Drosophila melanogaster: one gene and its partner. The protein of the gene in region 1 interacts with the protein of each later gene in a pairwise test. Each region holds a gene or a part of one and is shown on either strand. Other genes may lie near its edges.

The links. Proteins that work in one complex are often made in the same cells at the same time.
Region 2: the proteins of CG15764 (region 1) and CG43861 interact in a two-hybrid assay, tested with the Drosophila melanogaster proteins (one large-scale study listed by BioGRID).

The regions. Positions count from the first base shown.
Region 1 is NC_004354.4:5,866,372-5,871,957, reverse strand, and holds CG15764 (uncharacterized protein), read right to left. Parts: upstream 2,864-5,586; 5' UTR 2,777-2,863; coding exon 1,895-2,776; 3' UTR 1,692-1,894; downstream 1-1,691. Other genes in the region: GAA1 (glycosylphosphatidylinositol anchor attachment 1), read left to right, coding at 1-618, 688-855.
Region 2 is NT_033779.5:20,014,283-20,019,077, reverse strand, and holds the start of CG43861 (uncharacterized protein), read left to right. Parts: upstream 1-1,795; 5' UTR 1,796-2,258; intron 2,259-4,795.

The DNA of each region.
Region 1 (5,586 bases):
CCGGCGACCAACGCTGAGCTGGAAAAGGCCGCTGGCTGGCTTAGGGAGCACGAACAGGAGGCGGAACTGGAGGAGAACCTAGAGCCGGATAAGTTCGAGCTGCCGTATGGTTCGGTATTGATTTACCTTACTGCCACCCTGTTGATTGGTTTCCTGTGCAACGTGCTGCCCCTGCAGCAATATTTCCTAGAGATTCCTATGGGCGCCGCACCACTGACCACCTCAGTACTGAGTTTTCTTTCTCTGATCGGTTTCGTTCTGCCCTTTGTGGTGGTTTTGCCGCCCGGAGGATTGGAGCTGCTGCATGTGGCCTTTCTGCTAATCTATGGCTGCGCTTTAATAGTCATCGGGCTCCTCAACTTTGCCCTGGGCTTATTTGCGGCCGTGCTGACTGTACCGCTGGTCATCGCGCTGGAGACCAAGGAGGAGAACTCGCGCAGCACGCTGAGGAACACGATCCGCTTGGCCACGCTGGTCATGAATCCCATGATGGTCGTTTATGTGATCGTGCTGGCCATGACATTCTACCAGTTCCCGGAGCTGCCGGTGCAGAAGATCATGCTGAGGGCGGCCACCGCGGCCATGGATGCCTCGGCTTATGGACTTATCGATTCCGTGGTAAGTTAAGATTTCAGTTGCCACTACTAACATACATAGATAATAAACTAAAATACTTTCCTATTGCAGATTTATGGCAACTGGCTGTACTTTGTCATCTGCACGATTTTCCTGCCGCTGTGGATCATCTGCTGGACCTTGTCGCTGTCCAAGCGACGCGACTACGCAGATTACCTGGACTTCGATGAGTCGCCATCAACGTCGCCGCAGCCGCAGTCAAAGGTGAAAACGAATTGAGGAGACGAACAGCACGGATTGCCATTCACTGGCTACATATATCAACTGGAAATGATCCTAAGATGAAGTGTGATAAACCCAACAAAACTGTGTGTGATGGCGGTAAGAGATTGCACATGCAGAGAAAATTCCATTTAAATGTTATGCATTTGATTAAATGTCTAAATAAAAGAAGCCTATTTATTAGTTGGAATAACTAAGTGTAAATGTAATCCAAAAAATATTAAATATACCACGGCATTTTCGATGTTGATTCCCAGTTAACTTATCATTTTAAATTACTTAAGTGGTTAACTTTATCAGTAGCTTCTTGTGATTTATGGATTTTCCATTATATTTGCAACTTTGTTTGCACGTAAAGCAGTAATGCATATATTTCCCATCCGTTGGTTATTATTTCTTTTGTCAATCCTCCGTCTTCGCTGGCGTTATTGGCCAGTGGAGGACAGGAGTTTCTCCGTGGAGTAGTGCTCAGTGGAGCACGTGCCTCTTTGAATAAGTGGAAAACTTTTCGACTATGACACGCAACTTAATTTAAACTTTGCACCGCTGCCAGCGCCATCGTCGTCGCTGCTGGCAATTAGTTATGAGCCAGGATTTGGCTCAATCAGAGGCATGGATGCATGGTGTCCTCGAAGCTGGGAGCCCTGCACTTGCCGCACCGTGTTTACCGGCGCCATTCAATCTGCAACTTAACAAGAAAACTTTCCTCACACAACCATTCAAAGGCAGACACAAAGTTGCGGCGGCACAGTGGTACTTTCACTCGAAATGTAGAAATGAGAAATTTTCGAATATCTTTTTATTAAATGGATAGATAGATTGTAAGATGAGTTCGGTCAAATCACTGAGCTGTATCACTGTATAAATCAGTTAACAAATATATATACTTTTTCAAGTAGTAGTTAATTAATCCTCGCAGTTCTAGTCTAATCGCAGCTTTTCAATATTTCTATGGGCCATCGTTAAAACAGCAGAGCACACAAGTGATTTTAGAGTTGTGTATCTTTATTCAAATACTATTCAAGGCTGGCCTGCGCTAGATGGCCATCTCCTGCACCTGATCCTCTTGGCTTAAAGAACCCATCGCCCTTCGCAACCATTGGCAAATCGAATTGGACGAGATAGGTAGCATCTCGTCCTGAGAGTCAGCCATATCGGTTTGGGTGCCCTTGCCGGTGCCCTTGCCTGGATTCCGATCCAGATACAGACCCTCTTTGGACTCCAGCTCCGTCTGTCGCTCCGCGTGGCGTTCCAAAGAGCGTTGACATCGGCTCCAGAGATCCTGGACATCCTGGCTCTCGCAGTCCGACTGAATGGCCTCTATCAGATATCTCATGGATCGCCCACTGTACTCCATCTCCAGGCTGCGGATCATTTCCGCATCGCTCTGCAACTGACACTGGATCGCCACCTGGCGTTCGAGTGCCTTGGCATCGAATAGCATTTGATCCAACAGTGCATCCGTCTCGGCGATCTCGATCCGAAGCAGATCGGCCATGTCCATGGCCGAACTAAGTTCCCCAGGTTTTGGGCAACGCGGCGAGGGTGGCGGTGGTGGTGGCGTCACCGGGATACGGGCCGTCTTACACTGGACGACACGTGGGGTCCTCAGATGCGTATCGGTCTTGCGCATTTTGAAAGCCTTGGGCGCAGGTCGTGGTGCTAGGCTACTGGGCCTACGCTTCGGGAAAGACCTTGCCGAGCTGGTCGCTGTGGTGGTGGGGTGTGCGGTATCACTCCTAGTCGTGAGCAACTCTGGCACTGCCTTCTCCAGAGATGCCTCCAGAGATGTATAGCCATTCACGCTGTTCAAATGGAGGCGACGGGCCTGGTGCACCAAATTGACGATAGCGCGATCCAAAGCCAAACTCCGGGCACTCACGGACTCCGCCGCGTCATTCAGATGTTCTGTGCTCATTCCAAAGCAGGTTTAGTGGAAAATTTTGATAATATTAATATATATATATGGCTATACTGTGAAGATGTAGTGTATATAAGATTTGGTACTACCGACCGAACCGTAGAGCAAACGTGTTGTGTGTGTCCCTGTCAAATTAGGTGAAATGAAGTGTTGCCAGTTGGAGACGGGCCTACTGGTTTCGGAAAACTCCAACTCCAAGATTACAAGTTTACAAAGGTTTTTTTCTCTGAGTGTATGAATGTGTCGCAAAGTATGCAGTTCGAAGAATATTTATATATGGTTAGAAATCTTTATACACAGCCCACTGTTGGCCAAAACGTTCGCATTATCCTTCGACTGAAGGATAAAGGGATGCGGAGAGTTCGTGATTGCGGGGGGGCGGGGGTGTTTTAAAATTGGCAAGTTGATGTCACATAATTGCCCCTCGAGCGCTCATCTTAATTATTGTGCTCGCTGACTTCCTGTTGCCCGACTTAATTCCCCGTTAAAGCCAACAACACACTCCCTGCGGTCGGGTTCGCCCCCCCACCCCCCACCATCCCACTCCAACGACCACTCTTTTGCCGGTTCCCTCTGCCGCCCATGGACTTACTGAGTGCGTCGCTGCTGCGTGTGGAAATAATTAAAATTGTTCGAAGAACGAGAGGTGTTGCACTTTGCATGTCGGCGAAAGGGGGATTGATGTGCAACATATATGTACATATGTATGAGTATGTGCATTATCGTGTCGGTTGGACAGAACAGCCATGCATTCATCGCGGATGTAAGGATAATGGAACCTACTTGAACGGCCCTTTAAAAAATTTATTGCTTTAACTATTAATCGTTTCATAAATTGAACCTTGAATGAGATCTGTAAATAAAATCCATTGCCAAACTGAGTTTATCCATTTGTAGAGCGACTTCAATTTTAGTTTCGCTGTTTTTTGCGGATTTTTTTTCAACGCTTCCGTGCTGCTTCTGTTTTAATGAAAAGTGAAAAGTGGGAAAACAAGTCCGGAATAGAGGAATACCAATCGAGAGCTTTCAATTTGCTCGACCATTGTTCTGCCTTTGTTTGCTTTTGGATTCGGATTCGGTTTCTTGTTTTTTTTTTTTTTTTTACCCGGGCTTTACTTTCGAAAAGAATTGAAACTTTGACAGTTATTTGTGTGCTTTGTCCGCCCCCTCGAAACAATGCACAAGCGGCGTCAATCCGCCCGACCTATATAGTCCTCCCCCCCCCCCCCCTAAACCACCACAACGAGGAGTCACGTGGCACTCCATTTTTTTGGAATGCCAACGATGAGTACGAAAAACTGGGCAGGTGAAATGGAAAACAAACGCATAGAAAGACAGGTACGAGAAAAAAGCATCCAAAAGACTATAGACATACACTGAGATCTTAGACGGAAAATGGAAAAAAATTATTTTGCAAAAATTAAACAACTTTAGATGAGCATTGTTATCATAACTTGACTAAAAGTGATCAGAAAGCAAAAAGAATAACTGTTTTGAGCAGCTAATAACGAAGGCTAACCATCCCTATCACTTTTTGACCGATTTAGGAAAATTAATTTTTGGACCAATTTTCGCATTTTCGGTAAGGGGTAACATCATCAAAATTTACAAAAAATGGCTAAAAAATGGAATTCCCATTTTTGGACACAGTTCGATTGGGAATTTAAATACGAACTCAACGTGATATGACATTCCGTATTCAGACAATTATTTTTAAAGTTGTGGCCAAAAAACTGACTATTTTATGACGGAAAATCGAAAAAAATGATTTTGGCAAAAATTAAACAACTTTAGATGAGCGTTTTCATCATAACTTGACTAAAAATGATCATAAAACCAAAGAAATAACTGTTTTGAGCAGCTAATAACGAAGGCTAACCATCTGTATCACTTTTGGACCAATTTAGAAAAAATAATTTTTGAGTCATTTTTCGCATTTTCGGAAGGGGTAACATCATCAAAATTTACAAAAAATGGCTAAAAAATAGAATTCCCATTTTTGGACACAGTTCGATTGGGAATTTAAATACAAACTTAACGAGGTATAACAATCCATATTTGAATGATTCTGTCAATTGTTACGAGAATAATTGTGTTATTTTCTAGGCGTAAAATTGGAAAATGATTTTTGGTACAAAATGGGATTATTTGCTTTCATTGGCATTGTAAAACAAAATTCGTAGAGCAACTATTTTGATTGAAACAAATGATCTCTAGATTTTTGCGAGTGCAAACCGAAAGAAGTGAACAAATAACGAAATAATATTGCATGCGAATAAAAATGCCGTCAAAACTGCCAATTTCTCTCAATTTGTAAAGTTTGTCGAATTCGGTATTTGTTTTTCTACTTTCCAACCCACTGATATGTTTTGTGTGTGCAGATTTCCGTGGCGCTCCAAAGTTTTCAACTACCAGTAGTTGGGGGATTGGGGATTTTTTATTCCAGTATTCCAGGCTGTCTTGAAAATTTAATTTCGCCCCGCTTCTACTTAGACTTTTACAATACTTTGATGCTGCTCTTAATCAAAGTTTGCCCAGCGACAATAAAACTTGCGATTTTATTTACAAACAATCAGAGCCTACGATGGGTCCTTCGAAAAGGGGGAAAACAAAGCCTTGTCCCACAAAGAGAGCGAGAAAATTGGGGAAAGTGGAGAAAGCTGAGCAAGTCGGCGGCCGTTGGATGAATGACAAACGAAATGAGACTCGAGTAGGCAAACTAGAAATGAATGGAGTGCATGAGGGAATTTGCCAAATTGAGCGAAAAGGGCCAGATACTTCAAATGGGATTTACAGTGCATACTGCG
Region 2 (4,795 bases), on another chromosome or scaffold:
CCTGTTGAACCCACACCGATGGCCATATTATTTACCTACATCTCAATCTCAACCATAATCACAATATTTACACCTTTCTCCGTCGCTCTTTCGATGCTGGCTTCCGCTCCTCGATGGAGGAAACAGTGTTACACAAATGCAAATCAATTGTAAATACAAATAGAAAACCTGGCCGAAAGCAGTGGAGCAAAAGGTAACATTTACTATAAATAACAAAACACCGTTAGCCTGAGGAAATCTTCGCCAAAGTTGGAGTAGTAGATACACCTGAAAACTGCATACAATCGATGTAAAAATTTTATATATAAAATTTCTCGATGCTATACAAATGAAATATAATTTGGTAAGTGTCCTCAAGTTTTGAGTAAACTGTGGCTGAAAATGCACTTCTACTTGTTTACCTAAAATGTTGCCAAATAGTTAGTTGCACAGTTTTTCTTTCGGTATTGCGACTGCAACTAGAAGCCTTGCGTTTTCTTGCCCTGGTGTGAATTTATTGCTTAATCATGCGACTTTAAAACGGCACGGCTGGCAGGTAAAGGCAGCTGGGTTTTGGATTCGGTTTTAACAAGGTGAGTGCTTGTCCAACTGGACGCGCTCCGTTTTATTTTCTGGCCATATTCTACGGCATCTTGCCGGTAGAAGAACGAAGTTCATTTGTGACTGCAGCTCAGTGTCGTTTGTTTTATTCGCCGAGTGGATGATGAATATATAATATAGATAGATAGATATATAGATAGATATATAGATGGTTAGATAGATAGGTAGATAGATAGATAGATAGATGGTAAGATAGATAGATAGATAGATAGATAGGTAGATAGATAGGTAGATAGATAGATAGATAGATGGATAGATAGATAGGTAAATAGATAGATATATATAGATAGATAGATATATAAATAGATAGATAGATAGACAGATAGATAGATATACAGATAGATATAAAGATAGATAGATAGATAGATCAACCGATAGATATATGTTAGATAGATAGATAGTTTGATTGCAACCTGCCAGCATGTTCGATTCTGGGCTGGCATGTTGAAGTTCGATTCGAACAAGCTGGTGTTTGAGTCCAACAATCTTGGGCTTAAATTCTTCTTAAAGTATAAAATAACAATTCCCTTAAAATTGAGATTTAGAGTTTTACTTTTGAGTTCTGGCTAAACTTATTTTTATTAGATAAACAACAATCCTACTTCTCGAACCCTTGCTTCTGCCTCTGCGGTCATTTTCGTGACCAGATTCGGAATTGTGAATAGTTAGGTTGTGAGCTCTTCTAGAACAGCTGATATGCAAATATGATAGAGGTTAGAATTGACCATGTTTTGATTATTTATAAATCAAATCAAGTATTAATAATATCATGTGATGATGAATTTTGTCGATTTAAAAAATGTGAAAGTTTTTGTTAGGTATGTAAATAGCAAACTAATAACAGAGGGAAATTTAGTTCCGTGTAAATCTTTCGACAGAGAGTCTTAGAACAGGATGTCTTGGAAACTAAAAGACGTGAGAATTAAGAACAATGCTAAATAATTTTAAATGAAATATATCCATTAAATATTTCTTATTAATGAGATATTTAAATAAGGATTTCTTTACACAGTTCAGTATTTTACATCGAATTTGAATATCACTCATACGCCTGTGTTAAAAATTATATTTTCACCTGGTTAGGAAGGAGAAAAACTGAACGGAGGCAAGGCAACATGTTCGAATCGAACTCGCGATGCTTTCGCGCGGGTAACTAACTGCGAACATAAAGCTCACCACTCAGTCTAAAAACGAGTTTCAACGCGTTCGGCTGCCGACCCGCTCGATTTTTGAATTCATTTTTTGGCCAGGCCCACTGAAAAAAAAAAGAGAAAAAACCAATCGAAAACAAAGCCTCATTGCGCCCCATTAGGCAAATGCTAAATTAGTCCGTTGTGTAAAGGTGTAAAGCATTATTTTGTCGAAATTCGCCTGCCGCAACAAACCCCATTTGCTTGTGTTGGTTTAAGCCCAATTGTTTGGCCAAAGTACCGCGGAGTTTTGTAAAAATATTTCTGGAAAATCTTCCCCAAAGTGCAGTGATTGTGTTTGTGTGCTCGTATCGTTTGTAGAACGGTAACAGGTAAAACAACATCAACAATCCGAGTCCGAACGAGCGGCCGATGTCGGTGAATATAACCATTAAAATGAAGTTAAAGTCGCTCCCGAGCTGCATACAAATGCTGCTGTAAATAAGTCTAAACAAACACTTGCATTTGGTGAGTTTCAATTGCCTCAATGGGCTTTTTTTTTGGGTCTGAGGTCGGGGGTGTTGGCCACATGTGGAATAAATCATAATTAGTGGGGCTTAAGTCTCGAATTGGGTTATGGGTACAACGGAAACTTAAGTGTGGGAATCAGTGCTAGTTGTCTTTATTTGTGAAACTATTTCGAACTGCGTTAATTGTGGCCCAGTGGTTGCCGTGTATACTTATCGCATTAGCGCGCTCAAGGAGCTGGAAATAATAGATACGCTAATAGATACATATGTGGTTTTAAAATTGGAGTAGATATAAGAAATCAAAATAAATATTCAAGCTACTTTTTCGCTTTACCTTGCTTAACAGGTACTTTAAATTGTGTTTTGATTTTAATCAGATACATTTCTGACCATCTGCAAGTTTATACTAATCCAAAACTATATCTATATAACTATATAACTCCACACCAACTTTTCCCTTCACTTTGTGAACACATTTTTCGGGATTACATTCTAAACAGAATTTCCGTTAGTATGAACCAAAATGTAGCTACTTAGTTTTCCGTTTTATTTGTTTCATTTTCTACTGCTCTCTGACAATTTTTGTCGCGAAAAAGTTTTTGGGATAGAAAGTTTATATTGTGAGCTAATTTGAGTTTGCATGGATAAAAGGGTAGAATTACGTTATATTTGTAAGTGTACATTTGGCCATGTGAAGCCATTTACCAATTCCAGGTAGTACACATTGTAGTCTTGTTTAAGCCGTTAACTCTGGGCGGACTTGAGTTCCTTGACTCTCGGTACTGTTCTGAATTATATGGAAGCAACCCGCAAATTTTCAGTGCTTGTGGAAATTATTTTCCGACAGTTGCTAATAAACCTGCCTACTTCATGGGCACAGCTCGCAACGGTCATTACTCATGCCAAATCTTCTGTCACTTCACACCTTCTCCGTCTAATTCTACGGTCAACTTGTCAACACGATGTGAAGTGGGGTCTGTGTGCGTGAGAGCTCTTAAGCCTTATGCAACAGCTCAAATTAGCCATGCAATTTGTACTTAACTATTTGCAGCGTCTTGTTGCAAGTTGGGGTCTTGGGGAATCGAAATGGAGGCTGGCGACTGGGGGCTGGTGACTGGAGAATGGAGAATGGAGAATGGGGTAATGGCTTCCACAGGGCACTCGCTGCAGAGGCGGGAATAATAAAATGTCCAAGGACTTGGAGCGGACAAGCGACAAGTTTATCACTTGTTAAGCCAAACGCTGCAGACATGCAGCCGGCTTCATCCTGCACCATTCCTACCCAGACGCCCAGTCCTACTCCTATTCCTACTGCATCCGAGCACCCCGCTCCGGGAATCCAACTCTAGACAACGTCGGCGTCGAGTGGCAGGCCCAGATGGGCGCGGCAGATAAGGAACTGGGCCCAGACCCAAAAGAGCAGGCCAAGAATAGGGCGTTCTGGGTCCGATCCTATTTGCATGCCACTCGCTTGAAGTGGGCCACACTCGGTCCGGATGAAAGCGGATATCAGAATACACAGAGACAAGATGTGAAGCGTTTGTAATCCAAATCCATTTACTCATCCGATCTTAAGTCCTCCAGGGAGGAGGTAGGTGTACTTTAAATCCTAATCTGAGTTTGGCCTCATACAGTCAAAATGTATATAAGATAAAACAAGAAAAACATGCATTTTAGTGCAATATATGTTGGATAGTTTGCGAATACTGGCGTTCGTCACCAAAGTTTCCTGATTTATTTTCTGTGCACGATTGGATGAGACAAAGGAAACATATAAAAAACATTTATTATTAATTGGTGCGTGCTAGTATTTATAAACCTGCTTTACAATTTCATGTAAATTATTTCTTTTATTCGTAAAAAGCTAGCCATATTGCATTAAAATACATCCGAATTTTTTTGTTGCTCTACAAACAACTACAAAATAGTTAATAATATCTTTAGACTGCAATCACTGTTTGGAATAAAGTTTTGCCATCTATAAGCCATCAGGCAAATCGTTTGCTATTATATTCATAATCCCAATCTAAAGCCAATTGGATGCCATTTTTGAGTATCCTTAGGCAGCTGGGACTTAAAGTTGAGTCTAACGATATGGTCCCGACCTTTTCGGGAGTTCCTCGAAATGGGATATCATCCACAGCCCGTCGCCCAAAACGGAGGCTTTCGCAGACGCAGCTGCTCCTCTTTCATTTGGGCCATTTAAATAATGGCTGCAAATGGCTGGGTGACAATAAAGAAGACCGGCAGCCACCACAAGTGAAGTTACCCAACAAAGCAGACTTCGGCTATAAATAGTTGAGAAAAAGTCAGGAAACGAATGTCAACTGAAAAATTACGTATACGCAGACATCGATGCTCATCGATAGTGAGACATGGGCTCGCTTTCGTTTCCGCTGTTGAGTCGAGCGTGTTGACTTTTCATTTTCCAATTTTTATTTAAATTTTTGTCTGTCGAACGGCGTCACTCTTGTTTATGACCATTTAATTGACACGCTACCTGGCAGTCGAAGCTCTTCTGGGAATATTTCCATT